Diceros bicornis minor: one gene and its partners. The protein of the gene in region 2 interacts with the protein of the main gene of each other region in a biochemical or structural test. Links are inferred from orthologs where the notes say so. Each region holds a gene or a part of one and is shown on either strand. Other genes may lie near its edges. The genes, in order: OTUD7B, AURKA, GADD45A and INCENP.

The links.
Region 1: of the proteins of AURKA (region 2) and OTUD7B, one has a biochemical effect on the other in vitro, tested with the Homo sapiens proteins (2 studies listed by BioGRID, with this or other methods). The link is inferred for Diceros bicornis minor from reciprocal best matches to the Homo sapiens genes AURKA and OTUD7B.
Region 3: the proteins of AURKA (region 2) and GADD45A form a complex in vitro, tested with the Homo sapiens proteins (2 studies listed by BioGRID). The link is inferred for Diceros bicornis minor from reciprocal best matches to the Homo sapiens genes AURKA and GADD45A.
Region 4: the proteins of AURKA (region 2) and INCENP form a complex in vitro, tested with the Homo sapiens proteins (3 studies listed by BioGRID and IntAct, with this or other methods). The link is inferred for Diceros bicornis minor from reciprocal best matches to the Homo sapiens genes AURKA and INCENP.

Annotation. Positions count from the first base shown.
Region 1 is NC_080743.1:54,538,885-54,545,774, forward strand, and holds the start of OTUD7B (OTU domain-containing protein 7B), read right to left. Parts: upstream 3,019-6,890; 5' UTR 2,735-3,018; intron 1-2,734. UniProt on the Homo sapiens protein: Negative regulator of the non-canonical NF-kappa-B pathway that acts by mediating deubiquitination of TRAF3, an inhibitor of the NF-kappa-B pathway, thereby acting as a negative regulator of B-cell responses.
Region 2 is NC_080758.1:6,940,502-6,947,433, reverse strand, and holds the start of AURKA (aurora kinase A), read right to left. Parts: upstream 3,021-6,932; 5' UTR 2,938-3,020; intron 1-2,937. Other genes in the region: CSTF1 (cleavage stimulation factor subunit 1), read left to right, coding at 5,844-6,012. UniProt on the Homo sapiens protein: Mitotic serine/threonine kinase that contributes to the regulation of cell cycle progression.
Region 3 is NC_080743.1:6,451,686-6,458,893, reverse strand, and holds GADD45A (growth arrest and DNA damage-inducible protein GADD45 alpha), read right to left. Parts: upstream 3,007-7,208; 5' UTR 2,884-3,006; coding exon 2,840-2,883; intron 2,331-2,839; coding exon 2,229-2,330; intron 2,011-2,228; coding exon 1,773-2,010; intron 685-1,772; coding exon 571-684; 3' UTR 4-570; downstream 1-3. UniProt on the Homo sapiens protein: In T-cells, functions as a regulator of p38 MAPKs by inhibiting p88 phosphorylation and activity.
Region 4 is NC_080770.1:11,224,101-11,231,040, forward strand, and holds the start of INCENP (inner centromere protein), read right to left. Parts: upstream 3,013-6,940; 5' UTR 2,898-3,012; intron 1-2,897. UniProt on the Homo sapiens protein: Component of the chromosomal passenger complex (CPC), a complex that acts as a key regulator of mitosis.

The DNA of each region.
Region 1 (6,890 bases), on a different chromosome or scaffold from region 2:
AGTCACACAGATTTTAATTATCTGAATCTATCAGGGGCTGTTGAGAAGATTCCACAGTCTGCCATTCCACAAGTCCTAAGTTCCTATAGGAAAAATGCTGCCAAAGTCACACTTAAAAGTATTGTTTCAAGATTTTTTCCTTGATGGGATGAATGTCTGGGGTAAGAAGAGAGGTGCCCCCTTACAGTGTCTTCTGTCAGCATCCTCAGCATGCTTGAGACATTCAGGAGCTCTAAAACTTTAACCAGCGGCACTCAGTGCCCCCATAACAATCTGAAAACTTATTTTTAATATTGAGTTATTCCATCATAATTCACTTGGTTACGTACATTGAATCTCAAAATTCCAAACAAAGCCTTCAGAGAACTGGGAATAATGGTGGGCTATTGGGCTGCCCTACACTTGTCTTGGGGTTTACTCAATTCCTTCAAGCCCCACCCCCAAAATAATATATGTAGTTCAACCAGGGGAAGTTGAATACAGATATAAATACAGAAATAACTAGAATTTACTAGATATCATCACTAATACTGGCACCAACCAACTCACAAATTAAAACAATTATTGATAGTCAACACACTCTGGGAGGGTATGTGTGATTTTTAAAAATTAGATTTTACCCTCCAAATTAAATTTTTTTTTTCAAGAGGCATCCCAAAAGAAAGAGATTAAGGAAATAAAGCTTCAGGAAAATTTCCAAGTTGTTGGTGACATATCTCCACCAAAAGTCCAGCTAACAATTAGCATTCATTACTGGTCAGCCTGCCTTATACAAGTCAGCAGACAGCCTTTTCTTTGGTAAAGGTTTACTTTTTTTTTTTTTTCACAAGGGAGCCTGGCATTAAACGAAAAGGATAAGTCAAACGAGGCAACAACAGCAAAAAAATTAGTAATAGTTTGGGAACTACCTTCCTTCCATCCTCTTTCTGCTTGAATGTGCAATGTCCAATATCTGTTCAATTCTAAATTATTCATGTTAATGGATAATTATCAGCAGAAAGGTGCTGATAAACCAAAATGGAAAAAATTGAAAAATAATCTATTTCAGTTTTGGAATATCTTTTCAGCATATTTACCCTCTCAATTATTCCTAGCATGAGCTAATATTTGTATTCATTTGCAATCTCTAAGTACATAGTAACTGGCCACTTATTCAGGGAGGTGCCCGGAGGCACGCCAGGTAGCTAGTGGAAATTAGAACAGACTGGTATTCAGCTTCCAGATGAGCAACATCAATTTCATTTATTTTACAGTTCTGTTCAGCCTTCAAAATATCAATAGACTAGCTCAGCAGGTTGGTTACTAAACTTTAAAAGAACTGCTCAGAAAAACAATGAGGACAAAGAGTATAAGTGTTTGCCTATAATGTATTCATTTGTAAATTATGCAAAGCAAATGTTTAATTACAAGTCTGATTCTCCCTAGCCACTCAGCCTAAGTCCCTGCAGTCTTTTCCATCCCATCAGGAATGCAATCTCATTTACTAAGAAGGAAATTTTCTAACTGCTTTTTAAAGTTATACAGCATAGAAAACGTTTTTAAAAGATTTAGGATTAGCTGCCCTCTTGGACTAGCCTCACCACTACCTCCTCTCACCACTTTGTCCTTTCCCACTTTAGAAATAGGTTCTGAAAGACAAAGGGATCCAGTCTTCTCAAAGATCTAAATAGACAGTAAGAGAAGCCTAAGACTGAAAAATCACCAGCTTCTGATTTTCTAAACAGCATTTTATACACATACTTATAAAAGATGAGGAAACTACAAGTCAAAGTCCTGCTAATTCTTCCATTCACATTCATGAAAAGAAAACTCCCCGAAGAGTTTGCGGAGAATCTCTTACAGAAAATTTCACTAGTCAGCTTCTTTCAACTTAATTTTTATATCTGTATTGTGCCCGGAGGAGCCACCTAGACAGAGACGGACAGAGAGGGTGGGGGAGAGAGACAGAGAGTGAGAAGGAGGGAGGGAGGGAGAGAGAGAGAGGGAGAGAGAGAGAGAGAGAGAAAGACTGACTCGCAGAGCGCTGGTCCTTGCGAGCCGACAAGCTAAAAATACGCGGGCCAGTAAACAAATCCCATTCCATCCCGACCGGAGCCACACCGTTAACCTAGTAATTATGAGAAGAGGAGTGAGATCACGCAGCCCCCGGCTTACTCATCATCAGCTTCTAAAGTTTCCATCGGCTCATGGCAACTTTTCTTTTTTCTAAAGTTCATAAGCCTGCCCACACACACACACACACACACACACACACACACACACACACTTCTTTTCGCTCCCTTCCTCCATTACTGGACGCACCTCAGTGTAGCTATCAATGGGGGAGAACAAGCTTGTTTTCACTTTACTTTTATATTGAGACTTCAAAATGAATTTTATCCTACTATGGGGATAGTAGCCTGTACTCCTAAACACCTTAAAACTCCACCATCCCTCCCCGAAAGTCTAGCTGACGAGAGGACCGTCCAAACTGCCCAGCACAGCTCGCGAAGGGAGGCCGGGAACGGGGGCCAGGGCCGCGGGGCGCAGGTGAAGGGGAGGAGTAACCGGGGAAGGCTGAGATGAAGCGAGAAGAGGGCGAGAAGGGGGTCCCGGGAGACGACGGCTCCGGGTGAAATACCATCAGAAAGGAGAAGGGGACAGTGGAGATCTGAGGGTCAGAGTTCGGGAGTCTGAAGAGGCGGGAGGGGCGGGAGCAGACGGGGGAGGGTGACAGGGCGGGGGGCTCCGTTACCCTCGCGGCTCCCGGGGCAAGGCCCTAGGCCGGGGCGGAGCGCGGGGCCCGGCCGCCTCTCCTCATTCCTCGGCTGTGACCCCGGGGTCCGGCCGGCCCCTCCCCCGACGACGATGGAGGCGGAGGCGGTGGCGGAGACTGCGACCGCGGCTGTTGGTCCGCACAGGATCAGGAGTCGGAGCCAGATGGGACTGATCGAGACTGGCCTCCCCCAGTGGCTTTTTGCCTGCTCCACACCCGGCCGCCACTCTGACTCCGGCTGCTGGTTCAGGATCGGTGGCTTTCGGCTGTCCGGCCGGAAACAAGCGCCAGTTTCCGGCCGGAGCGGGTTGGTGGTGACACCCAAGCCGCCCCCGGGCCTCCTCCCGCCCCGCCCCTCCCCGCCCGTAGCAGCCCCGCCTTTAGCGCCGCTCCCCTAGCTGCGGCCAGTTTGACGCCTGCCCCGCGCGTGACCCCGTGTGTTCCTGGTCCGGGTTCCTAAAGCCCCTGGTCTGGAGAGTTCTTGAACCGAAGGTGGAGGGGTACAGGGTGGACTCTTGAGACTTTGAGATAGAGTCAGTTGGCTACAGCCCTTTGGGAAGAAGCAGAAAGAGGCGGGGTAGTTCTCGAAAGGTGAGAGGGATGAAAATACTTAGAATGAGACGACTGAAATTCTAGTTACTGTAGGCAATTATTCTGGACCGACCAGAGGAAAATTAACAGTCTCCACCCAGTTATGCGCTCTCCTTCCTTCACTCATGAAGTGAACATACCCTTCTCTATAAACACTCGATATTTATTTGCATTATGATGATACCCTATTGACATATCTGCCTTAAGACTGTTAGCACAATCGAAAAAAGTTATGTAGTGCTTTTTTGGTAGTGCCTTTTAACAGCTTTACAGCATAATTCAATAAATATTTATTTAGTCCCTACTATGTGAAAGGCACTGTGCTCATTGATATTGGGGACACAAAAATGAACAAGACATAATTCCAAACATCAAGGTTCCTATACTTTAGTAAAATACACATACATATGTATGTATGTATATGATACATATATACATGTATGTATCATATGTATGTATATGATACATATGATACATACATAAGGCAAAAGTCGCGTATGTGGTATGTGAGTTGCAATGAGCTATGGCTATGAGAACATAAGCCTTGCCTGGCACAGAGCAGACCTTCTATATTTGTTGAATGAATAAATAAATATTAGGAGAATGTGGACTGTTTCAAGTAAGAAGAGCCATTTAATAAATACTCTTTATGACAAACACAAAATGGGGCCAGCCCCTGGGGATCAAAGAAATCCTAAATTTTGGGGCCAGCCTGGTGGCGCAAGCGGCTAAGTGCCCGCGCTCTGTTGCGGCGAACCTGGTTTGGACCCCAGGCGTGCACTCACGCACCGCTTGTCAGGCCGTGATGTGGCGGTGTCTCACATAAAGTAGAGGAAGATGGGCACGGATGTTAGCCCAGGGCCAGTCTTCCTCAGCAAAAAAGAGGAGGATTGGCTTCGGATGTTAGCTCAGGGCTGGTCTTCTTCACACACACACACAAAAAAAATAAAATAAACTCCCTAAAATTTAAAAAAAAAAAAAGAAATTCTAAATTTTAATTCAGATTCCTAACATGTTGGCACCTGGTCTGCGTATTCAAAATGTTTATTGTTTCAGTTGTGCTCATTAGGCCTATTTAAAAAACAAATATTACAGCCGATTTTTCTATCTCCTCACTACTTTCTAAAATCCTCAGTTTCTAAACCGAAGGGGTGGAGCATAGAATTTTAGAATTAGCCAGCTCAAGACTGGAAAATCAACACCTGAAACAGGACACTTCCTAGACAGCTATATCTCTTTGAGATACCTTAGGTTTAGAGGTGAAGATTTAGGGCTGGGCCTAGGGCCACACCAAGGCCGAGCAGGTTAGAGTGCCTTGCATGAGGCATGCCCAGGACCAACAATACAGGTTGGCAGGCAGAGCCAGTTGGCCTGGGCTTCAAGCATGTGGGGACTACGAATTTTGGGTCCTGTTCAGCAGCAAATCTGAGGAGGACATGGTCGCCTGATGTTGATTCTAACTGAACTGCACTGATCACAGCCACCCGTTGCTCACCTATGATGAGACTTGGTCTCCTATGTTGATTCTAACTGAACTCCACTGATCACACCCACTCCGTGCAAGCTAAATCTGGGGTAGGAGGACAGGTCCACAGATGAAGAGCCTCAAAAATCTAAATTTGTCTTGTTTCACCAAGGCCCTCGCAGGACCAGGTTATGCCCATCTGTTAACTATGTCTTTCTAGTCTTAACTCCAGTACCACAGACTTATTAGGACCAGGTATGGAGTTCAAAGGCACTTTCCACCCTCAGTACAAGGAAGACTTTTACTTTTGGCAGTGACCACAGAAAGTTTCCACATTTGAAAGCTGGGCCAAGTTGCTGGTCAAACTCATTTAAGTGACTACAGTTTACAGGCTTGCCTGGAAATTTAGGGGCCAGGAAGTGATAGGGTTGCAGTTGTTTTGTGCCTGTTTCTTGCTCTGACCATCCATCATTCATTGTTGTTTGTGCAACTGCTCAATGGCCTGCTTGTTTGGGGTCAGCCCAGGCTGTGTGGGTAGCAGTGTGGTCAGCTGGGCTGGGAGCCAGGCCACCTGGGTTCTGGTCCCAGCTCAGCCAGCCCCTAATCCATTAAGTGACTCCCTTCCTATTCCTATGTGTCCGTTTCTTTGCCTAGAAACTGGGGACGTCTTCTGTAGTGATGTGCAGCCATTCGGGCTGTCACTATGTTAAATGCTCAGAAACAGCTGGCTAATGTCCTTGTGGGCAGCCAGAACACAGCTGATTATGTTTTGCTGCCAGGTAGAAGAATAGAAAGAAAAGAAAGTAAAAGCAGCACAGAAAACCCTACCAGTGTACCTAGGGCCACACACTCTCATCTGCCATTGAGTACAAAGTTCTCTTCCGCCCTAAAGGCCTGTTCTTGTTTACTCATTTTAGCAATTCTAAGGGCTGCTCCAAGGAGCTCTCTGAGCTTTCATTTCACTTTAAGCAAGAGCAGAAAAAAACAGAGCTTTGCATTTCACCAGAGAAACTACAAGGAGAGACTATTTCAACACTAGGGCTAATGGATAGAGTAGGGAGGAATGTTCAGAGAAAGCTATTTTGCAGCTAACCAGGAAGGAAAAAAACAGCAATTGTTTGCATTCATATGCTTTTGTGGTGTAAAAGAAAACCAAACCAAAATAACTTCCTTTCTACCACCACCACTATAATTTAGACTAGTGGTTCTGTGGAGTTTTAAAAACTACATCCTGTATGTATGTGCCTAGGAACCTCAGACTGACTAACTGGGAATTCTTGGACCATGAATCCATATATTTTTAAAATATCCACAGTTCTTATAAAGTTAAACACTTTCCTGCCCTATGACCCAGGAATTCCACTCCTAGGTATTTACCTAATAGAAATGAAAATGTATGCCTACAAAAAGCTTAGACATGAATGTTCATAACAGCTTTATTCATAATAGTCCAAACTGGAAACATCTCAAATGTCTACCAACAAAAAAATGGATAAACACATTGATCAAACAGTGGAATACAATTTTTAAAAATGAACTCCATTTAAACACAACAACATAGATAAATCTCAAAATCATTTATTGAGCAAAAGAAGCCATTTATATGAAATTCAAGAACAGGCAAAAGTAATCTTGACGATAGAAATCAGAATCATGGTTGCCTACTGGGGAGAGGTGGGGATTGAATAGAAAGGGGGCAATAGGGAACTTTCTGGGGTGATGGAAATGTATATACATATATCTTGATAGGGTAGCTGTTATGCATATATATCAAATTGTCTACTTAAGATCTGTTCATTTCACTGTGTGAATTTTACCTCAATTAAAAAAATAGAAAATGAATATCCTGGGTTCCTTCATAAAGTTATAAATTTACATTTTCTTGTAGATTATTTTATTGATATTTTCTTCATCCATTAGATTGTGAAGCTCCATAAGATAAATTCACCATTTTAGCTATAAGGCCTAGCATAGTGCCTGACGCATAGCAATCATTCATTAAATATCTACTGAGTGAATGAATGAATGAATTGGCAGTTGGGAACCATTGCTTTGGCAGTACATACCACACTCTTATAA
Region 2 (6,932 bases):
GCATCTTCTGCCCTAACCTCTCCTCTGACTGCTAGACTCCGTTATCTAATTACCTGCTCAGGGTCCCCCGGAAAGGTCCACCAGACATCTCAATCCTAACACATTGAAAGGGAACCTCTTCTCTCCACACTTCATTTCCCCTCTGCTCACAGGAGCACCCTGAGCTCAGGGCCAAAGCACTCTTCTTTTCCAGCTACACTCACTCCCTAGGTGAGCTCATCCAGTCTCCTGGTTTTCAATACCATCCACAGGCTGAGGACCTCCAAATTTCCATCTCCAGCTCACACCTCACCCTTAACTCCTACCACCTACACAACATCTCCACCTGGTACTCTGAGAGGCGTCTCAACTTTAACCTGTCCCAACCTGAAGTCCTGCTCCCTCCCACCCACCTCCCCAAACCTGTTCTCACAGAAGTCCCCACCTCAGCTGATGGCAAATCCGTCTTGCCAGCTGCTCAGGTCAAGTCTTGATATAATGTTTTACACGGTTCCCCCTCAAACCCCATATGTAATCTATCAGCATATCTTGTATGCTCTACCTTCAAAAATCACTACTCATGACCTTTACTGCTACCACCTGCTCACACCACAATTCTCTCCCCTCAATTATTTGCAACAGGCTCCCAATGGTCACTCTGCTTCCACTGTTGCCCCATTATGGACCATTCGCAACAGTGTGCCCAGTGATCCCATTAACAGGTCAGATATGTTGGTCCTCATAGTTCCCCAATCCAAATTCAAAATCCTACTTGCACAGACAGGCCTACAAAGTCTCAAAGAATGTGGAACGTGACCACCTTTCTGACCTCATCTCCTCTTATCTGTTGCATACCAGCCATACAGGGCTCCTTTCTTTCCTCAAAGAAGTCCCTGCCACAGGGCCTTTGCACTTCCTGTTCCCGCTATTAGGCTCTTCCCCTAATAGAAGTGTGGCTTACTCCTTCATTTCATTCATGTCTCTGCTCAGACATCCCCTTTCAGACCATCTCTCCTTTATTTTTCATCATACTCCTTAATATCTTACATAACATCACTTGCACTTGTTTACTGTCTCTCTCCCCAGACTCAGACATCCAGCTACCTGCTCAGTATCTCCAAAGCAAGCAAGCTCCACGAGCACAAGGGCTTAGTCCCATTTTGTTCACTGCTGCCTCCCCAGAACATGCCTGGCACGTAGTATGTACACCAATGTTCTGAGAATGAATTAATCCATTAACAAAGCAAATCAATAATAAAAATAGTTTATAACACTTAGTAAGCCCATACGGTGATTCAGGTACAACCACCTATCAAGTAAGTAGAACATAAACTCCAAGAAAGCAGAAACTTCTGTATTTTTCTTACCCAAGTGCTCTCCGAATTCTAGAATCCAATCAGAAAGTGCTCCCCACCCCTACACTTTCACATTCATTTTATAAATAAGCAAATAACTCCACCTTGAAGATGGGACCACAGCTAAAGAGCTGGGAGTCCTTACTTTAAGCAGTGGGTTAGTAGAAATAGACAAAAAGGAAAAAAGGAAACATATGCTTGTGTTATGAAAATGTTCATTTCACATACACTCTAATGCTTTCTTCACTTTCCCTAACAATTACAAGCAGCTCTACTGAAGTCACATAGCCCTAAGGACATTTATTCAACAGTCTTTGACAGAAGCTACAGATAATTTGCTCCAATTTAATATGTTTCCTTCTCAGGGAGATGAATGATGATAAGCAGAAGGGAATAAGATTCTGACCCAGAAATTCTGGCGAGAGCCCCAGGGAGACTGCTTCTCAGATGATTCTGGCCTACAGCCAGGTTCAGGAGCCACATGGCCAGACGACCTTCACAAGATCCCTACCGCTCAAGCCAGAGATCCTACTATTCTAAACAGGAAAATTGTTAGATTTAATAGCACCGTGGGGTTAGACTTTTCCTTCCTTGTCAAACCTACTAATGTCTGCGTATATGAAGGACAGTGGACAGGAAATAAGTATGTTGCTGAAAAGTGTTTAATTCAAAGAACAAGGAAGGTTGAGGAGGGGACATTAAAAGTCAAGGGCAGTAGCTACACCTACAACAGGGGGGCGTTTGTTAGAAATGGAGACTCTCAGGCCCACCCCCAGACCTAACAACTCAGACCCTGCATTCTAACATCCAGTTGACTAGTATGTGCTGGTCTGGGTCTCTAGTTCTCAATGACACATCAGAACCACCTGAGAGCTTGATAAAAAGACAGACACCTGAGTCCTATGCCCGAGCGCTTCCGATTCATTAGGTGGGTCTATATTTTTGACAAGGACTCCCAGGCCATGCCGACGTATAGGTGGTCCAAGGTCTACGGTTTGAGAAGCGCTGGCCCAGGAGGCCTCTTCCAGGTTATTCATTCACCCACTCATCCAGCCAGCCAGGAAAAGGGGACCTTCCTAGCTGTTCTGTCCCAAGTAGCCCCCGGTAAACCACACGACTGTTTTCTTTCGTAAGGCTCACCACTCTCGGATGTTATCTTGCTAGTTCGCAGTCTGTCTCCCCACCCCCACTCAACTGCAAGACAGCAAAAACCTGTGTTTCTTCTTACCCGATGCTCACTGAATACAAGAACCCCATCTGAAAGCACACCCTCCCCCCACCCCCCAACCACCCCAACCACTCCAGAACACATCAAGCAGCATCTTCAGGGCGCCTCAGTACCCAGAAGCAGATGCGAGGGCGCTGGGAAAGCACAGGTAGGGGACGGGGAGGATGAGGGGGATGGGGGAGGATGAGGGGGATGGGGGAGGATGGGGGCACAGGGACCCTGGGGACGGAGGGCGACGGGGGGGGGGCGCTTCTCGCCCCGACCATTCCCTCGCGGACCCCGCGGACCCACTGGCTGCATCCCTCCCACCCAGGCCGGCCACCCGGACCCTCCCGGGCCCGCCCGCCTTGCAGAGCTGCCCCAGGGTCTACCCACCCGTCAGCTCCTGCCTCCGACCTAAGGCCGCCGAGTCCTCCCGAGAACTCAGCCGTTAGAATTCAAAGTCTTCATTTTAAACAGGAGTTAAACCCTCTAATCCGAAAGCTGATTGGCCTGGGCTAGAGAGGCGCTGCCTTTTGATTGGTTCAGAGCCAACTCGACGCTTGAGTCACGTCCAGGGCAGAGACGGCGCGCAGGCGCACTTGCCCCGTAAGGCCCCGGAAGTGGTGGAGCCAACGGCCCGCCAGACCCCTGGCCGTGCTACCGCCCTTGGTGCTCTCCGGAATCCGACATTTGTCTGTGCGACAGCAGCCCCTTGGCGTCAAGGTTGTCGCGTAGAAGATAAATTCAGAGGAGGTGAACAAACCTCTCGAACGCGCTAGTAGGTAAGATGGCGAGAAGAGCAGGGGAGAGTGGTGCCGATCGATAGCGCAGCGTTCGGCGCGTCTTCCTGCGCGCGTGCGCAGTGAACGTGCGCTCGGAGTGATCGATCGGGCAGGAGTCGCGCATCCATTTTTCTGGAGAGAGCGAGAGACCAGGAGAGCTGGATTAGCGGGTACAGGGGGCCCGGGATACGTGGCGGGGGTGGCTGGTGCGGCTGGTGCGGTGGGCTGGGCTTTCAGGAAGGCTAGGGGCGAGGCGGGAAAGGTCGATAGCGAGCGGGGCGGCGTGTGCCGAGTCGCCGGGCTGGGCTTGCACCCGCCTCGTTTTCCTCAAAGGCCTGGTCCCTTCCCTCCCTCCCTCCTTAGTTCGCCCCTGCGCCGGGATGGTAGCGGAGCGGGCGGTGAGGGGGCGCCTGCGCTCTCGCCCTGGTCCCCCTTCCAACTCCTCTAACAGTCCTGGGTCGGGCTCTTCCTGTCCCCGGGCCTCAGAGGTCTCACCTGCAAGTTGGCGCTGGTAACTAGGCTCTAACCAGCCCAGCGAGCGAACGTTCTAGGGGAGTTGAGAAGCGGGGCGTGTCCTCTCTTTTCTTCATCTCTTTGTATACCCCCGTGATGCTCCTGGCGTGAATGAAGAGACAGGCTGGAATAGTGGTTAAGCTCTGGGCTCTGGTGTGGGCAGTCCTGGCGGCCACTTGAACCTTTGGCGACTTAGCCACATTTTACTTTTCACTGGGATTCCTAACCCCTTTGAGCCGGTTTCATAATCTCCATTGTGTCCTCGTATTGTCTACGCAAGCATAGATTTATATACGTTTGCTTTTACATGTACTTAAATACATTTAATGATTTCATTCGGTGAGCTAATGCTTATAAAGTGCTTTGCACGGTGTCTGGCAACTGCTTAATAAATGTTAGCTATTATTAACACCCACCAGTACAGCCCGGTAAGAAGGGCGGCTCTGGGGTCAAGTAGCCTGGATTAGGATTCAGGCTCTGCCGTTTATAAGCTGTTTCATCCTGAGTTGAGTTAACCTCTCTGGACCTCAGGTTGTCTGTCTCTAAAATAGGATTAGATGAGGATTGAATGAGGTAATGCATATTAGCTGCTTACACGGTATATGTTATATACTGTACGGAATGTCTAATAAATTTTAGCTAGTTTTAAGTTTTTGAGGAGCACTGCAGGTAGTGGTTAGGAACGAGACAGTCTTTAGAGTCAAACCTCCTGTGTTCTAGTCCTGGTTCCTCCAGGCGCTAGTTGTGAGACCATGGGCAAGTTATTTCCCCTCCTCATCTGTTAACAAGATTACAGGACCTCCTTTATAAGATGGTGTTGCCGGTTAGGTGAGATAAAACATGATAAACGCTCAGTGAATGTTAGCTGTTCTTAGGATCAGCAGCCTCAGTAATTCTCCAGAGGGAGTTGTGTACTTAGAAAACGTGGTTCCCCACCCCTTTCCTCTAACACCCTCACCTCCCCCGCTTTCAGAATCGCCCCTGTAAAGTACAGCAGTACCAGGAGGTACTGATGTTGGTGTTCACTCCCTCCTCTTCTTTCTCATATTCATCTCTCTCCTGTACTCTGCCTTTCAGTTTTCTTCTCTGCCACAACTTTTATTCTTTATTGCTGTCCCTAGGCTCCTGCAGTCTTCTGATCTGTCCGTATGTACACATACATAAAGACATTAATTTTTGATAATCAGATTTTCTATCCATGTCCACCAATTGCAGTTTTGTTTTGTTTTTTTTTGGCATAAACCAGAAACCATCATCTACAGTTTTCTGTTTCACTTTCTAAGACTGAGGGAGAACTTAGACACTTGTAAATCGATCTAAGAGCACAATCCTTCAGATTTTTGCATTTTTTTCCATTTTTTAAAGCTATCTTGGCCATATCCTACTTGCCAGTATTTTATTAAACAGTTCACTTTTGAATCTTTGAAAGCATTCAGCTTCATTGTTTTCATAGCATAATAGCTGTTTTGTGCTCATGTGAAGCTCGGTTACTTTAAAACATGTTTTAAGAATGAACATAACTGGTATTAGTAAACATAGAGCTCAGCTGGTGTAAACAATACTGTCCAGACATCGACAATAGCAGCTGTCTTACCTATTGCAAACACCAGTCACTGTTTTATTAACAGAAGAAATGGAAGATTCTCGGATAGCAATAAAGAATAAAAATTGCAAGTGAGTAGTTCGGCATAGAAGAAAAGTTGATGAAGAGACATTCTGCTGTAAATATCAGCAAACATGATTTGAATAATTTCTTTCTGCCACTATGCTCAATGCAGCGTCTTGTTTAACCTTCACTAACTTATTTAACAGATGAGGAACTTGATCTTAGAGAAACGAAGTCACTGACCAAAGATGTTGCAGCTGGTAGAGCTGGGATTTAAGCCTACAAGTGGGACCAGATTCCTGTGTTGCTTCTGTGGTTTGCTAGTGCCTCTGCCCTTCACCGGCCACCTGTTTTCTCTTCTTGCAGCTGGCAGGCAAATTGTCTTCCTGTTCCTCAAGATGTACAGAACCAAAGTGGGCTTGAAGGACCGCCAGCAGCTCTACAAGCTGATCATTAGCCAGCTGCTCTATGACGGCTACATCAGCATTGCCAATGGCCTCATCAATGAAATCAAGCCTCAGTCTGTCTGTGCGCCCTCAGAGCAGCTCCTGCATCTCATCAAACTAGGTAGCTTGTGAATGCAAATTCCTTGACCCCATGACAAGGTTTCAGATGTTTTCACACGTCAGAATTTTTCGAAATTATTTCTTTAGTTTTAGCCTTTAGTATGTATCAAGTACAGTGCTAGATATTGAAGGAGTAAGCAAAGTACAGATTATAAAGATTTCGAGCTGGTTCTAGCCTCAGGATCTTTATACGAATTATCTGAAGCATTCTGTCATTGTATTGACTTTCTTCAAGTTTCAGCTCAAATGTCATCTCAGAGTCCTCTTCACTTCTAAAATAACCCGACTATCTTCCACATAACTCTCCAGTTACTCTAAGACAATAATCCCATTTTCTTCATAACAGAATCAGTGTCTGAAATTTTCTTTATTGTTTTGGGTTGTTTTCCACACAGTCCACACCTCCCCAAAAAAAGACTGCAGGCTCAATAAAGATCAGGACCTTGTCTTGTTCAGAAGTATATCCTGGTGCTTACCTGGGTCACAGAAAGCACTCAGTAAAGTATAAAAGTACCGAAGATGTTTATACCCTTTGACTTGGCAATGCTAGTTGTGAGAATTTGTCCTGAGGATATAAAATGAATATAACTGAAATGCCTAACAATGGGGAATTAGTTATGAATGTTCTTATATCCATAAAATTAGATCCAACAACATGATGTAGATGAACATTTATTATGCTGGCCAGATGTTTATTGTGTATGATTAAGTGAAAAAGTAAGTCACAACATGTTATGTAGTGTAATTCTATTTTTCTATTTCTGTTAAGTGAAACAACTGTATGCATGGAGAAAAGTCTAGAAGAATTCATACCGCCATGTTAACAGTAATAATCTCTGGGTGATATAGAATGAGGACATTTTAATTTTTTCTTCTCTATTTTTAATTTTTGTTATACTAATAAACATTGTTTATATATGA
Region 3 (7,208 bases), on a different chromosome or scaffold from region 2:
AGAAATGATGCAATTATTCCATACCATTTTATTGTAGGTATTGTGTTTCAAAAAATTTATAGCATAAATAACCTTTCATGTCATAAAATAACTTAGTGCAATTTATAATAAAACTTTGAGAATTTAACATCTCATCAAAATACAATAAAATATGGTTTTAAAATATGATTAACCCTTTCTGCTTTTCTTTTACTTGAGGGCATACAAACCAAAAATACCCAAACTACTGCTGCACATTTGAACTTGAACAAAGCGTATTTGGTTTATTTAACTGTAACTCAACCATCCTAAATTAATACATAGTTTGTTTTCCTTCCTGCGTGGTTGTCTCTTTTGTTCCTTGTGACTTGTATTGCTGTTTCAACACAGCTTCCTTCTCCATTTTCACCTCTTTCCATCTGCAAAGTCATCTACCTCCGGGCCCCCAGAACGTGTAGTTGAACTCGCTCAGCCCCTTGACATCAGTTCCTGTAATCCTTGCATCAGTGTGGGGAGTAACTGCTTGAGTAACTACAAAGGTATTTCAAAACTTCAGTGCAATTTGGTTCAGTTATTTTCATTCAGATGCCATCACCGCTCAGGGAGATTAATCACTGGGACCCACTGATCCATGTAGCGACTTTCCCGGCAAAAACAAATAAGTTGACTTAAGGCGGGATCCTTCCATTGGGATGAATGTGGATTCTGGGAACAAATTTCGAAAAATAAATTGACTATTAAAAAAAAATCAGCATTTGCTAATAATTACACTACTTTTGAGCAGAAGACACTTCAACATTCTATATTTTGCATGACATGAAGACCAGTTACAGCCATAAAAAATAACATTTCTTCCAGGTAGTCAGGTTTCCTGCAAAATCATTAAAGGTAATTCTCCCCTAACCTATACTCTACAAAGTCTGAAGCACGCAACCCACTGAGCCATCTACATATGTTTGCATGATACTATTTATTCAGTTTTGCATGAGGGTATCATTCACAGGTTCCTGCTAACAAACTTGTACTATGGCAGAGACCTGAGTAAAATGACTTTGAGAAACATTTCCCTGCCGTTCATACAATGAGACAGAGCTGCACAGCAGTCACCACCCAGTCACCACCTGTTATCCTCCCAAAAGGTGGAGTCATATTCTTCAGGAGTAGCAAAATAATTAGGCTGCCACTTAGCTAGACCAGCCAAAAAACAGTAAAATGTAAAAACAAAAGATGATGTAAAATCTCATTTACCTCTGAAAACACAAGTTATTTACCCACCCAAGGTTTTTAATTAGGAAAAAAGCTCCATTAAAAAAATGCAAGATTGCAAAGGAAAAATTTCCACTCTATCCTCTTAATGTATTTCTAGGGAATTAATAAGGTCTGTCTCCTACACCGTTTCTATTTTTAGCTTTGACTGGCAGAGAATGAAGCTGACTCCTTAATGAGGGTGAGCCAGGAATTTATGTGGCTTTATCTAATCCGCCCTGCTAAAGGAATTAGTCACGGGAGGTAGTGCAGATGTAGGTAGGGAGTAGTTGGGCTGACTCTGCTGACTCACAAGGATCTCTTCCGCGGCTGGCAGCCTCCAACGTGCTCAGACATGTTCCGTACGGGAGAAAATCCCGATGATGAAACTAGCACATCTCGGCTGAAAGTCCAGCCGCTCTCTTTAATGGGGCAAAGGCGGCCCCGCTCGTGACCCCCACCCCTGCCCGACCCGCAGTCAGGCGACTCTCGCCCCGGCCCACTTCCTCCCAGGCCTCGCACGCGGCGGCGCGCGCCCTGGCCCTCACCGTCACCAGCACGCAGTGCAGGTCCGGGGGCTGCGCGGCGCCCTCGCCGGCCGCGGGCCCCGCGTCGGGCTCCAGGAGCAGGAGCTCGGCCAGCCGGCCCGGGTTGCTGACGCGCAGAATGTTGATGTCGTTCTCGCAGCAGAAGGCCTGGATCAGGGTGAAGTGGATCTGCAGGGCCACGTCCCTGTCGTCGTCCTCGTCCGCCGCCAGCAGGCACAGCACCACGTTATCCGGGTCGCTGCGGGCAGGGGCGGTGCGGGTGAGCGCCGAGGCGCGACCCCCGCGCGCGCCCGCACCGCCCGGGTCCCGGGGGTCGCGCCCGGCCCGCTCGCTCGCCGGGGCAGGCAGCCGCCGCGCGGATGGACAGCGGCGTGCAGGCGAGGGGCGCCCCGCGAGGGCGCCTCCCGGGCTGGGGCGCGCAGGGGGCCACGGGGGACACGCGAGGGCCCCACTTACACGTTGAGCAGCTTGGCCGCCTCGTACACCCCGACCGTGATGGTGCGCTGACTCAGGGCTTTGCTGAGCACTTCCTCGAGGGCATCCCCCACCTTATCCATCCTACACGCCGGCAAGAGCAAGGGGTCCCGTCAGCCCGGGTGCCCTCGGGCCGTCGCCGCCCCTCGACCCGCACCGCGACCTTCCCCCCGAGCGCGTGCCCCCGCGCACCTCAGCTTTCTGCAAACCCGGGCGCCCCGGTCCGGCACCCCCACGACCCCTCGCACGCCCAGAGGCCGGGGTCCGGGGAGAAGCCCCGAGAGTGTCACCCGCCACCCTCCCCGAGGGCACTGCCAGTCCCGGGCTGGGCGCAGGCACAGGCTGCCCGCCGCAGCAGCTGCACCGCAGGGACGGTCGCTTGTGCCCTCTGCAAAGCCCCGAGGGGTCGGCCGGGTTGGGGGGCACGCTCCTTCCGTCCGCGGGCGCCCCTGGGAGGGTCCCCGAGTGAGAAAGGCGGGAGGGAGGTGCGCTCCGCAAACTTTTCACCGCTCGCCCCACGCAAACCTCCCGGAGCCCGGCGGCACTCCCCCGAGGCCCCCCGAGGTCCCCCCGGGGCCAGTCGGCCCACTCACCTTTCGGTCTTCTGCTCGCCAGCCGCGAATTCCTCCAGAGTCATATTGCAACTGCAGGTTCCCCCCAGAGAGAGCGCGGCGTGCGGGCTGCTCCTGCCACCGAGCGCGCGCGGGCGCCGGCTGTCTGCACTCCGGCCCCGGCCGCTCCAGCGCCCCGCCGCCGCGCCGTCAGCCCTCCCGCCCGCCCCCGGCCACTCGCCCCGCCGCGAGCCGCGACTGCCACCCGGCTGCTGCCTCACAGCCACTGGAGGACAAAGGCGCCGCTCGCCGGAGTTATCCTGCCAACCCCCGGCCAACCAACGCCCGCCTCATTTGCATACGCGCAGACATTGGGCTATGCAAATCAGCATGTTCCGACAATTTGACCCGAGCTCCCGGACCGCGGCTGAGAGGAGCGGAAGGGGGAGGAGCCACGCGGAAGGCGAGCCAGGGGCGGGGGCGGGGCGGGGGCGGGGTCCCGAGCGGACTCTTATTCCGTGGGCGGGGCCCAAAGGAGAGGCGGTCTTTGCACGGGGGGAGGGAAAGCGGGTTGTCTTCAGCTTGGGCTGGAACAGGCTGCCAAGTGTTTTTCTCAGTTGGTGCACATTTTTTTTATTGTCGTTTCATGTCTTTTGTTTTTAGGGGTTGCTATTAAAATCTGTTTTCGGGGTTAATGCACCCAAGTCCAGTAATTATTAGTAAGCAGTTTACATAAAAAGAGTGTGTCCAGACCTCCGGAGCAAAGTTACCTCAGAAGTGTTGTTTGTGTAAGTCCAGGCAAAGCTGCTTATTAGTAGTAGTATTATTTCGGTGCCCTGATGGCTGGTTTGATTTATTTTTGGAAGGTTGCAAGGGTTGGAAGCTCAAAAAAGAAAAATCAACACATTTGTCTTGGGTGGTGGCAGGGAACCAAGTTGGAATCCTTTCCGCAGAAAGCAGAAGGGCTTCCCACCTGCCCAGGGTAACTCGGGGAAACCATGTTCACCGGGAGCTGGTTACCACACGTGTGTATCCTGGCCTTCAACCCAAGCTCACCTTTCTCAGAGAGCCTTCCCCAAAGGAGGATCCTTCTGAACCGGCACCAGCTAAGAGACAAATGTCTGACACCCACATAAGCCACGAGTCTAAATTCAGAATGCTCTCAATATGCCCTAAGCTTCCTTTCATGAGGCAAGTATGTCACTGCCCTCCCCAGAGAGCCTGTGATCTCACAGTGAATTATTGATGGCCAGTGCTGAATCATGAAGCAGCAGCCATAGGACCTTTTAGTCATATGCTAAAATTTCACCTTTGAGATAATGGCGACCTGTGGGTGGAAAGCAAGCAGTAGTTACACATTTTTGAAAAGCAAACTTTAATGTGTAGACTTTCGCCGAATACGTTGCAAGTTCTTCCCTTTGTTTTATGAGTTTATACAATAAGTGCAAAAACATGTCTTAAACCTACTCAAGTCACCAGAAGAGGTGAAAATTCCCCCCATATGCTTCCATTCAAAACAACGCTTGCATTATTAAGGTCACTGTATAGTTAAAGGTCACAGAAGTCATTTTTTGCAAAGGTACATGGGAGTTTTTGCACCCGTATGTTTGTATCATTCTAGACAAAATATTCTCCAGCTCTCTTGATCTTAATTTAGTGGAAAAGAAAAGTGAGAGTTCAGTTTTCTGGCTCATTTACTTGAGCTGCCTTTTTGCACTTAATCCCTAACTGCCTTGTCAGCAAGGGACAATGTTTTGGAATGGTGGTGGCCAATGCATAATTTACCCAAGGGTGCTTGTGTATTTCATTTCTATACCTTAAATCGTAATGTGTAGTGTCTTTGTTAAAGAATTCCTTAAAATTGAAATTCAGGTGGGTTCTGAAGTTTTTCGAACAAACCCTGAATTATACACTCTGGCCTGAGTCATCATTTGGAGACTATTGAACCGTGTTCCATGGAACTCCAAGGTTCTATCCACTAGGCGTTTCTTAGAGGTTCTTTGGAAGAAAGTGTGATCACAGCAAACTGAAAAAGAATTAGGGATGCATGTGAGTTTCTTGACAGCAGGGACTGTGACTTCATCACCGTGGTGTTCTTGGCACCCAGCCCAACTTCTGCATTTAGGAGAAGTACAGTCAATGTTTATTGAGTTGAACAAGATCTCAGAATCCTGCAGTCCTGTGCATTGCATGAATTCTCTCTAAGATATTCCACATTTATCTTTAGTTCGAAAAAACTTCTTTGATCTACTATGTACCAAGAACTGTACAATTCCTGGTCCTTTGCCTTTAAAGAGCTTACCATTTAATTGGTATGTCCATGCTTGGACTGGATTTTGGGACAAAATAGCATGCACTGTCATCAGCTAGCTATGCTGGAAGTCCCATGACTTTAGTCATCTGAACGGAAACTGTAGGACAGTAGAACCCGTGTATTGTTTATGCCAATTCAAATGAACCACAGCCCTAATAATACCTCACCCAAGACAATGCTGTGCAGTAAAAATGTGGTATAAAAGAGCTATTTCTTAATACAGGCCTAGACCCTCACTCAGAAGCTACCCTGCGTGCTGTCTGTGGCTTCATGGGAAAGTGGTTTGTTCCAGTGTTGTCGGTTGCTCTCTGAGATAAGCCTAGCCTTCCAGTATTCAAAAATATTCATTTGTCATATTTTCTGACTCAGATATGTTACATCATTTTGCCTCATTGCTGAGTCTACCTAGAATGTTTCATCAGTGATGATCTTCGAAGCTGGTCCTCATGGCTGCAAGTAGAAGCTGCATTTAGCTCCAGTTAGATTGCAGTTATATATTAGGATGGTCATAGATGATATATTTCATAAATGCTCCTCAGGCCAGTGGGAAGTTGGTATCCAATGATAAACCAGAGGAATTTCCCTAGATTAGTATAGAACACACACACATATATGTATTTTTAAAAATAACTCCAATATGTGAAATCATTTTTTTTTTAATTTTTTCCCCCCAAAGCCCCAGTAGATAGTTGTGCGTCATAGTTGCACATCCTTCTAGTTGCTGTATGTGGGACACAGCCTCAGCATTGCCGGAGAAGCGGTGTGTCTGTTCGCGCCTGGGATCTGAACCCGGGCCTCCAGCAGCGGAGCGCACACACTTAACCGCTAAGCCACGGGGGTGGCCCTGTGAAATCATTTTTAAAACCACCCCAGGTGGCTCCAAGTAGTTCAGCTGCACAGGACTAGAATGACCTTGTAGTAATATTTGTAAGGATGCCAAATGGTTATATTTGGAAATCAGATGGAAATATGTCCTCAAAAATTGTTGAATTATTTTAGCCATCTACTTACTTTGCATATTAAGAGTCTTTTTGATATTTTCTTCGCTTTTAGTATGCATATGTTCCTACTACTTGTTCTATAGTATAGAATGATAACTTTTCTTTTTTTCAAAAATTAGTCAATCCTTTAACATCTGAAAGAAATATGATGCTTATTATTTTGGTATTAGATCATTGTTCACATTAAAGGAGATCAATTAGACTATAACAGATGTATCTACTACCTAGAACTCTGTATTCTATTTTATTGTTAAAAATTATAAGGTTCCTTATGTATTTTTTGCATAAGTCTGGTGAAGTTAGTTTCTAAAGGCAGGCTCTGAATTTCCCTCATTTCTTCCCCAGAGAAGACCATTCAGACAAGATTTACTGTCACCTAAAAATTTGTCATTTCTTAGGATCAATACTTGCATTTGAATTTAACATAAATGTTTAGTTTCTTGGACCATCACTGTGGTAGGCAAATTGTAAGATGGGCTCAATGATCTCTAACCTCTGATGTTAAGCTCTGTATAACCCTCTTCCCTCGAGTGTGGGCGGAACCCATCCCTTGTTTCTAACGAGTAGAATATGGCAATGATGTTGGGCTATCACACCCACAATTATATTACATTCTATGGCAAAGGTGAAAGGATTTTGCAGATGTAATTACGGTCCCTAATCAGTTGAGTTTGAGTTAAACAAAAGGGAGATTATGCTAGGTGGGCCTGATCTAATCAGGTGAGCCCTTTAGAAGAGGGCCTAGGCCTTCTCTGAAGAGATATTGGAAGCATCAGAGACTCTCTTTCTTCATTGCTGGCTTTGAAGAAGTGAACTTCCATATTCTACAGCTGCAAGGAAATGAATTTTGCCAACAACCTGAGGGAGCTTAGAAATAGATCTTTTCCTAGTCAAGCCTTTAGATGAGAATGTAGCCTGGGAAACACTGATTTTAGCCTTCTGAGCCCCTGACAAGAGAACCTAGCTAAGCCATGCCTGGACTTCTGACCTGCAGAAACTGTGAGATAATAAATGAGTGTTAATTTAAACCACTGTTTGTGGTAATTTGTTTCATAGCATCAAAACCTAGTACAATCCTCTTAATGCCATCTTGTCA
Region 4 (6,940 bases), on a different chromosome or scaffold from region 2:
TGAGGGAGAAACTTCAGCCACCACAGGACCCCTCTCTGCCTGCCCAAACACAAGGTGCTCTTACTCTCCTGCGCGCTCTCCTCTTACTACCTGTGGGTGAGCAAGGACTAAGACACAGTTACCCTGAGCTACACACGAGCTGACCCCAGGCATCAGGCCAAAGAACATGGGAGCCAACTGCCTCTTCAAGAGCCCAGTGAAAGAAGGGGTTTTGCTTTCCAAAGGAGTCAGTAAGAAAAGTAGGGGCCCAGGGGCTGGCCCAGTGGCGTAGTGGTTAAGTTTGCGCACTCCACTTCAGCAGCCCGGGGTTCACAGGATCCGATCCTGGGCATGGACCTACACACTGCTCATCAAGCCATGCTGTGGTGGCGTCCCATATATAAAATAGAGGAGGATGGGCACAGATGTTAGCTCAGGGCCAGTCTCTCTCACCAAAAAAAAAAAAAAAGTAGGGGTCCAGAGGCATGCTCCTCTCCAAGGGGTTCCCTCACCCTCTCCCTTGAGCTGAAATGCCCTAGAAATGGATGAGGGAGCATGAGGGGAGCAGATAAGCAATGTCTTGTTTTTAAGAAAACTTGTCGAGAAATATCAGGCAGGGGAAAATACAAAACCAGTTTTCTCTTAATTTCTCAAAAAACTAGCAGCTCAGGTATCCTCCTCAAGACTTGGTTATAATATCATCACCAAAGCCCCAGGCAAGGAAGAAGTGTTACATTAGTCATGCAGGGTAAATATAAGTAAATATCCAACTGCTGGGTGAATGAATGAAAGAATAAATGAACGGGTGACGGTCATTAGTCGTAATGACAGACTGCGTGTCTCATGCCATGGCAGTGACCCACCACTCAGATCTTCAAAACCCAGAACCATGCAAAGGTCAGGCTTCCCACCTAAGATGGAAGCTCCTAGAAGGAGGGGCTAAGTCACTGACCCCTTGACAGCTTATAGAGCTTAACAGGTCATGCTGCAGCCTCATGGGATTTCCTGGGGCCTGATTTCCAGGGCACACTAGCCTTTGTTCCTTGAACAAACTCTGCCCTCTGTCTGGAACCTTCTGTCTCCTATTTTGTACAGCTCACTCCTCATCACACAGATCTCAGCAACTCAGGGAGGCCCTGACCATCAGTCATGATCCCATCCATCGATTTCAATTCTCTGCATGGCACTTGGGTGACTGTGTATCTGTTTACTTACGCCTGTCTCTGCTCACTAAACTTTTGCTCCCAGAGGGCAAGCCCTTGTCTGTCTGGTTCGTAGCTGAAAGCTCAGAGCCCAGCACAAAAGGAATACTTGCTCAATGAATTAATCCACTTAGAAATAAACACCCTGCAGGTACTCCCTCCTCCCCGCCCCAACACACACACTCAGAGACACCACATGAGCTCACTCTATACAGGTTAGGGCACACCATACTCATCCAAAGCCACTGCTCCTAGATGCCAAGGGCAGCACTAATCGGGGTGGGGCCAAACAGATGGCAGAGGCTTCGGGCACAGACAGCTCTGCAGCCAGCCAGTCATGGGCTCCGCCTCTCCGCTGCCATCCCTCTGCTCCCCCCGGCCCCTCTGCCCCAGTGCTAAGCCCTAGCAAAGTGCAGGATCCCCGTTCGAGGCCAGTTATGAGAAAATTGTTTAAGGAAGCCAAAACCAAAACAGAGGTTTGCAGAGGAGCTACAGAAAGCAACAACTTGCCATCTTATTTTTTAAAGTATTAGTTCCAAATAGCAAAGTGGGCGAGAGCTTCCTTCACAAAGTGCAAAAAAAGTGTTTGAGCTTCTTCCATGGCAAAGTTTGTTTTTAGCAGACGTCAGCTTGGCTATTTAAAAAAGGTCACTGTACATTAGAACAGAGGTGACTCTGAGAAAGGAGGAATCAGGGTACTAAGAATCAGGCTCCTGGAAGGAACAGCAAAAATCTCATCTTCAGCCCGTATAAGAACCTGTGCACAAATCCAGAGCACTTAACATCCCATCAAGGGAGAAGGGAGCTCATCCTTCTCTCCCAATACTTCCCTCACACCACACACCAGACTACAGGGCCCCCACCCCCCGCCCGCCTCTGCAATGCCTGTTCCTTTGAGGGTGCAGGAAGTTGGGCACCCAACCCCACCTCAGTGAAGGACCATCATAACAGCTGCTCCCATTTACGAAGTCCTACTCCGTGCCCAGGTCAGGCATTATCTCATTTAATTCTCCCCACAACCTGAAGGATACCCATGTGCAGATGAGGAAACTGAGGCAAAGAGAAGTTAAGTCAAAGTCAGGTCACCCGGTATGTCGGGGGTGAGGCCTGAATTTAAACTGTGCCCCTAACCACAGCGAAGCCGCCTACTCGATTTCAGCCTCCGAAAGGCAGGCGCCAAGTTTTGGCTCTGGGCACCCCGCAGAGAAGGCCACGGTGGCTGGATGAAACTGAACAGCCAAACTGACAGCGAAACGTGGTTGGGGAGTGCACTGGCATAGGGGCACATAGGAGCAGTATTGGCCTCCGGAAATGGTCCGTTTAAAATGCCGCTCAGCCGAGGGGGAGGTGTTGAGCGAAGGTTAACTGTACAGAAATGCCCTCTGGCATAATTCGGTCCACGACCCGGTCGGTGTGCGCTTCCTACGCATCCAGGTCAACAAAGGGCTTCCTAGGCACACAAGGAGCTGGGCACCAGAGAAGGGGAGGGGACCGAACTATTCTCTCAGAACCTGGTGACCTAGATGGAGGGTGGGGGTAATCTCCGGCCCCGGGACTAAGGCAGGTCACCTCGCCACTTGGAAGAGGTGACCCGTCCATTTCCAGGCCACAAGGGGCGGCGGGGGACGGGGGTCATGCCCCCGGTCCGGAGTTGGCGGGAGGGGTAACAAATCTCTAAGCATCTCCCACCACCGCCGGCTGCCCGCGCGCACTTACTCTACTGCCCTGCGTCTCCTAAGTGCTGCTCCGATCCAAGTCCAGCGGCCTCCCTAGCACAGGCCCCGGCCCGCCCAGACCCTCGGCTCCCGGCGTCCAGGGCTCAGGCTCGGGGGAAGCAATGGGCGGTGCAGCGCGGGCGAAAACCTACGATTTTCAAAACTGAAGCTTCGACCAATCCCCGGCAAGTTTGTCTGGGCGGATGCAAAACTCTAAGCCAATCAGGTAAAAGGAAGTGCCAGTCAGGCCACCTATTGGCTACCTGGGTTGGCAGTCTGCGGGACTAAGAGGCGGGGAAAGGAAGCGTTGAAACTTTAACCTGCTCAGCTTCCGGGAGCTGCTGTTCGGATCCCGCGACCGATACAGGAAGTCGCCGGAGGTGGGGGATGCGCGCGCAGACGCTCGCACGCCGCAACTACAAGCCCCAGCGTGCACTGCGAAGGCTCTGGTCGGGTTTGGGAAGCGTTTTGGGGGCCTTGGTGGGGTCGGAGGTCTTATAACCGCAAGTCGTGCTCGTCCCGGGAGACTTGCCCATTGCAATTTCTTCTTCCAGCTTTCTGTTGCATACAGGATAACATCTTTCCCACGTCTGCCATTTTTGAGAAGTAAAACGCTCTGTAGATCGCGCCGGAGTTTTTATTTACGTAGAGCCCTCTGTCATCTCTTGGACGACAGCAACCTGTGTCCCATCTATACTGGCCCTGAGTGTACCCTTTGCAGCGGTGGTTCTCATTCGGGTGCGATTTTGCCGCACCATTTGGCAATGTATGAATACGTTTTAGGTTTCTTTTGGGGGAGGGCGGGGTGTTACTGGCATCTGGGTAGAGGCTAGCCATGCTGCTCAACACCCTATAGGGCACAGGACAGCCCCCAGGGCAAAGAATTATCCAGCCCAGCATGCCAGTATGGCCACTGTTGAGAAACTCTGCTTTAGACAGTCACTTTCCACTGTGAGTCAGGGCTGCCATCACTTGTAGAATAAGGCAGTTAAATCTCCGAGAGAGATTTGTACACCCATGCTCATTGCAGCGTTATTCACAATAGCCAAGAGGTGGAAACAACCTAAATGTCCATCAGTATGTGAGTGGACAAAGAAAATGTGGCATATACATACAATCAAATATCATTCAGCCTTTTAAAAGAAAGAAATCATGTCATCTGCTACAATATGGATGAACCTTCAGGATATTATGCTAAGTGAAATAAGCCAGTCACAAAAAGAGAAATACTGCATGGTTCTGCTTACATGAGGTCTCTAATGCAGTCAAACTCTTAGAAACAGGAAGTAGAGTAGTGGTTGTCAGGGGCTGGGGAGAGGAGGGAAAAGGGGAGTTGTTCAGCAGATACAGAGTTTCAGTTTTGCAAGATGAAAAAGTTCTAGAGGGGCTGGCCCCATGGCCTAGTGGTTAAGTTTGGCAGGCTCCACTTCAGTGGCTTGGGTTCAGTTCCCAGACCTACATGGCTCAGCAGCAGCCGTGCTGTGGCGGTGACCCAGATACAAAATAGAGGAAGACTGGGACAGATGTTAGCTCATGGCAAATCTTCCTCAGCAAAAAAAAAAAAAATGTTCTAGAGATCCATTGCACAAGGATGTGCTTACAGGTAACATACTGTAATGTACTTAAAAATGGTTAAGATGGTAAATTTTATGTTACGTGTTATGTTTTAACCACAATTTAAAAGAAAAAAAAGTTAAGCTGGATCATCTTTGCAGTTCCTCCGTTTCTGCGGCATTGCTTTATTCTGAACCTTCTACCCCTTGTGATGAAATGTACTCAGTTCTGGTCTAGTTCCACTGTCTCCTTTCTCAGGAGAACAATAGCTACACCCCCACCCAGATTCTTTTTTGGCTCTCATGTCTCTCTTACTTGAAGGACATCTCTGAAGGAGATGTCCTGTACTGCCACAGTTTCAACCCCTAAATCACGTTAAAGCGAAGTTAGGGGTGTGAACAGGAAAGGAAAGTGCTGAACGCAGGAGAGAAGTCTTGCTGTACTCTGCCCAGCTCTAGGGCCTGTGTCTACCCTGGAACACTGACCTAGTGGAGTTAAACCTAAGAAGAAACAACCAGGATAGGAAGAGCTGAACCTTATCTCCAAGCTACCACTTCCTGAACGCGCACTCTATGACAGTCCTCCTTCTGAGCGCTTTTCCATGCCTTATCTCCTCACAGCAAGCTATAAAGTTTTATCTCTATTTTAACTGATGAAAAGAGAGGACAAGTAACCTGTCAAGATACCATAGCTAAAGAACTAGAATCAAACCTCACATCTCGGGGCCAGCCCAGTAGCATAGTGGTTAAGTTCATACACTGTGCTTTGGTGGCACAAGGTTCGCAGGTTCAGATCCCAGGCACAGACATACACACCACTCATCAAGCCATGCTATGGTGACGTCCCACATACAAAATGGAGGAAGATTGGCACAGATGTTAGCTCGGGGCCAATCTTCCTCACCAAAAAAAAAAAAAAAAACCTCACGTGTCTGGAAGAGCTTGCCTTCTCCTTACAAAGAATAATTTAAGAGATGTGAGAAAAGAGATTTATTTAACTGCCTTCAAATAACAGAAAGCCTATCCCACAAAAAAATGAATTAATTAGACTTTCTCCTGGGTTTTACCCGAATTGTCAGCCCATATCTCCAACTCTGCATGTGTATAACAACAACTTCCCCTGCAAAATCAGCTGCCCCTCTTAATTCAATTTCAATAACTTTTGCATGCCCACTGTGTCCCAGACACTGTGCTGAGAACACAGCAGTGAGCCTACCACAGGTGACCCTGCCCTCATGGAGTTTACAGTCCATGTTGGGATATTGGAGATGGATTTCTGACAGTGAAATGGAGCAGAAGAAGTCACAGGTAGAGATTAGCATAAAGAAGCCTGTGATGGAATGTTCTGGAAAGCAGTGAGCCCTCCAGTGCCAGGCCCTTTGTAGACAAAAGTGAGGTCCGAAATGTGGATTCCCTGTGAGATTAGAAAACCCTCCTAACATCTGCCCAAGAGGAGAAACTGGGAGCTCTAGGTCTGTAGAGCAAAGAGAGATAAAGTCCAGAGTCCTACCGTAGACTTCAAATAGTTTTGTTCTAGCATCCAATAAGAAAATCTTAAAGCCTACGTACACATTTTTTAAATTGCCCTTTAAATTCTTTCCCTCATTTAAATGGTCGCAAAGGATGTAATTTTCAGCGTGTTGTAAATCGTGACATTCTGAAATAAAACTCTTTCATCACTCTTTTAAATGTGTTCAATACACTCAAAATCCCATAGCAATTTTGTGTGTGTGTGTGAGGAAGATCAGCCCTGAGCTAACATTCATGCCAATCCTCCGCTTTTTGCTGAGGAAGACTGGCCCTGAGCTAACATCAATTGTCAATCCTCCTCCTTTTTTTTTTTTTTCTCTTTTTCTCCCCAAAGCCCCAGTAGATAGTTGTACATCATAGTTGCACATCCTTCTAGTTGCTGTATGTGGACGGTGGCCTCAGCATGGCCTGACAAGTGGCGCGTAGGTGCGCGACCGGGATCTGAACCGGGGCCGCTGGTAGCGGAGTGCGCGCACTTAACTGCTAAGCCACAGGGGCCCCCCATAGCAATTTAGTATCCATCATGATCCATTTTTTTGTATATCTTTTTTCCCCATTTTTATTGAGGTATAATTGAGAAATAAAAATTGTATATATTTAAGGTGTACGACATGATGTTTTGATATACTTACACATTGTGAAATAATCGTCACAACCAAGCTAATTAACATATGCATCACATAGTTAACCATTTTCTTTCTTCTTTTCTTTCTTTCTTTCTTTCTTTCTTTCTTTCTTTCTTTCTTTCTTTCTTTCTTTCTTTCTTTCTTTCTTTCTTTCTTTCTTTCTTTCTTTCTTTCTTTCTTTCTGATGAGGACACTTAAGATCTACCCTCTTAGCAAATTTCAAGTATATAATACGGTATTGCTAACTATATTACATGGCTGTACATTAGATCTCCAGAACTTATGCATCTTGCATGACTGAAACTGTACAACTTGACCAACATCTCCCCCTTTCC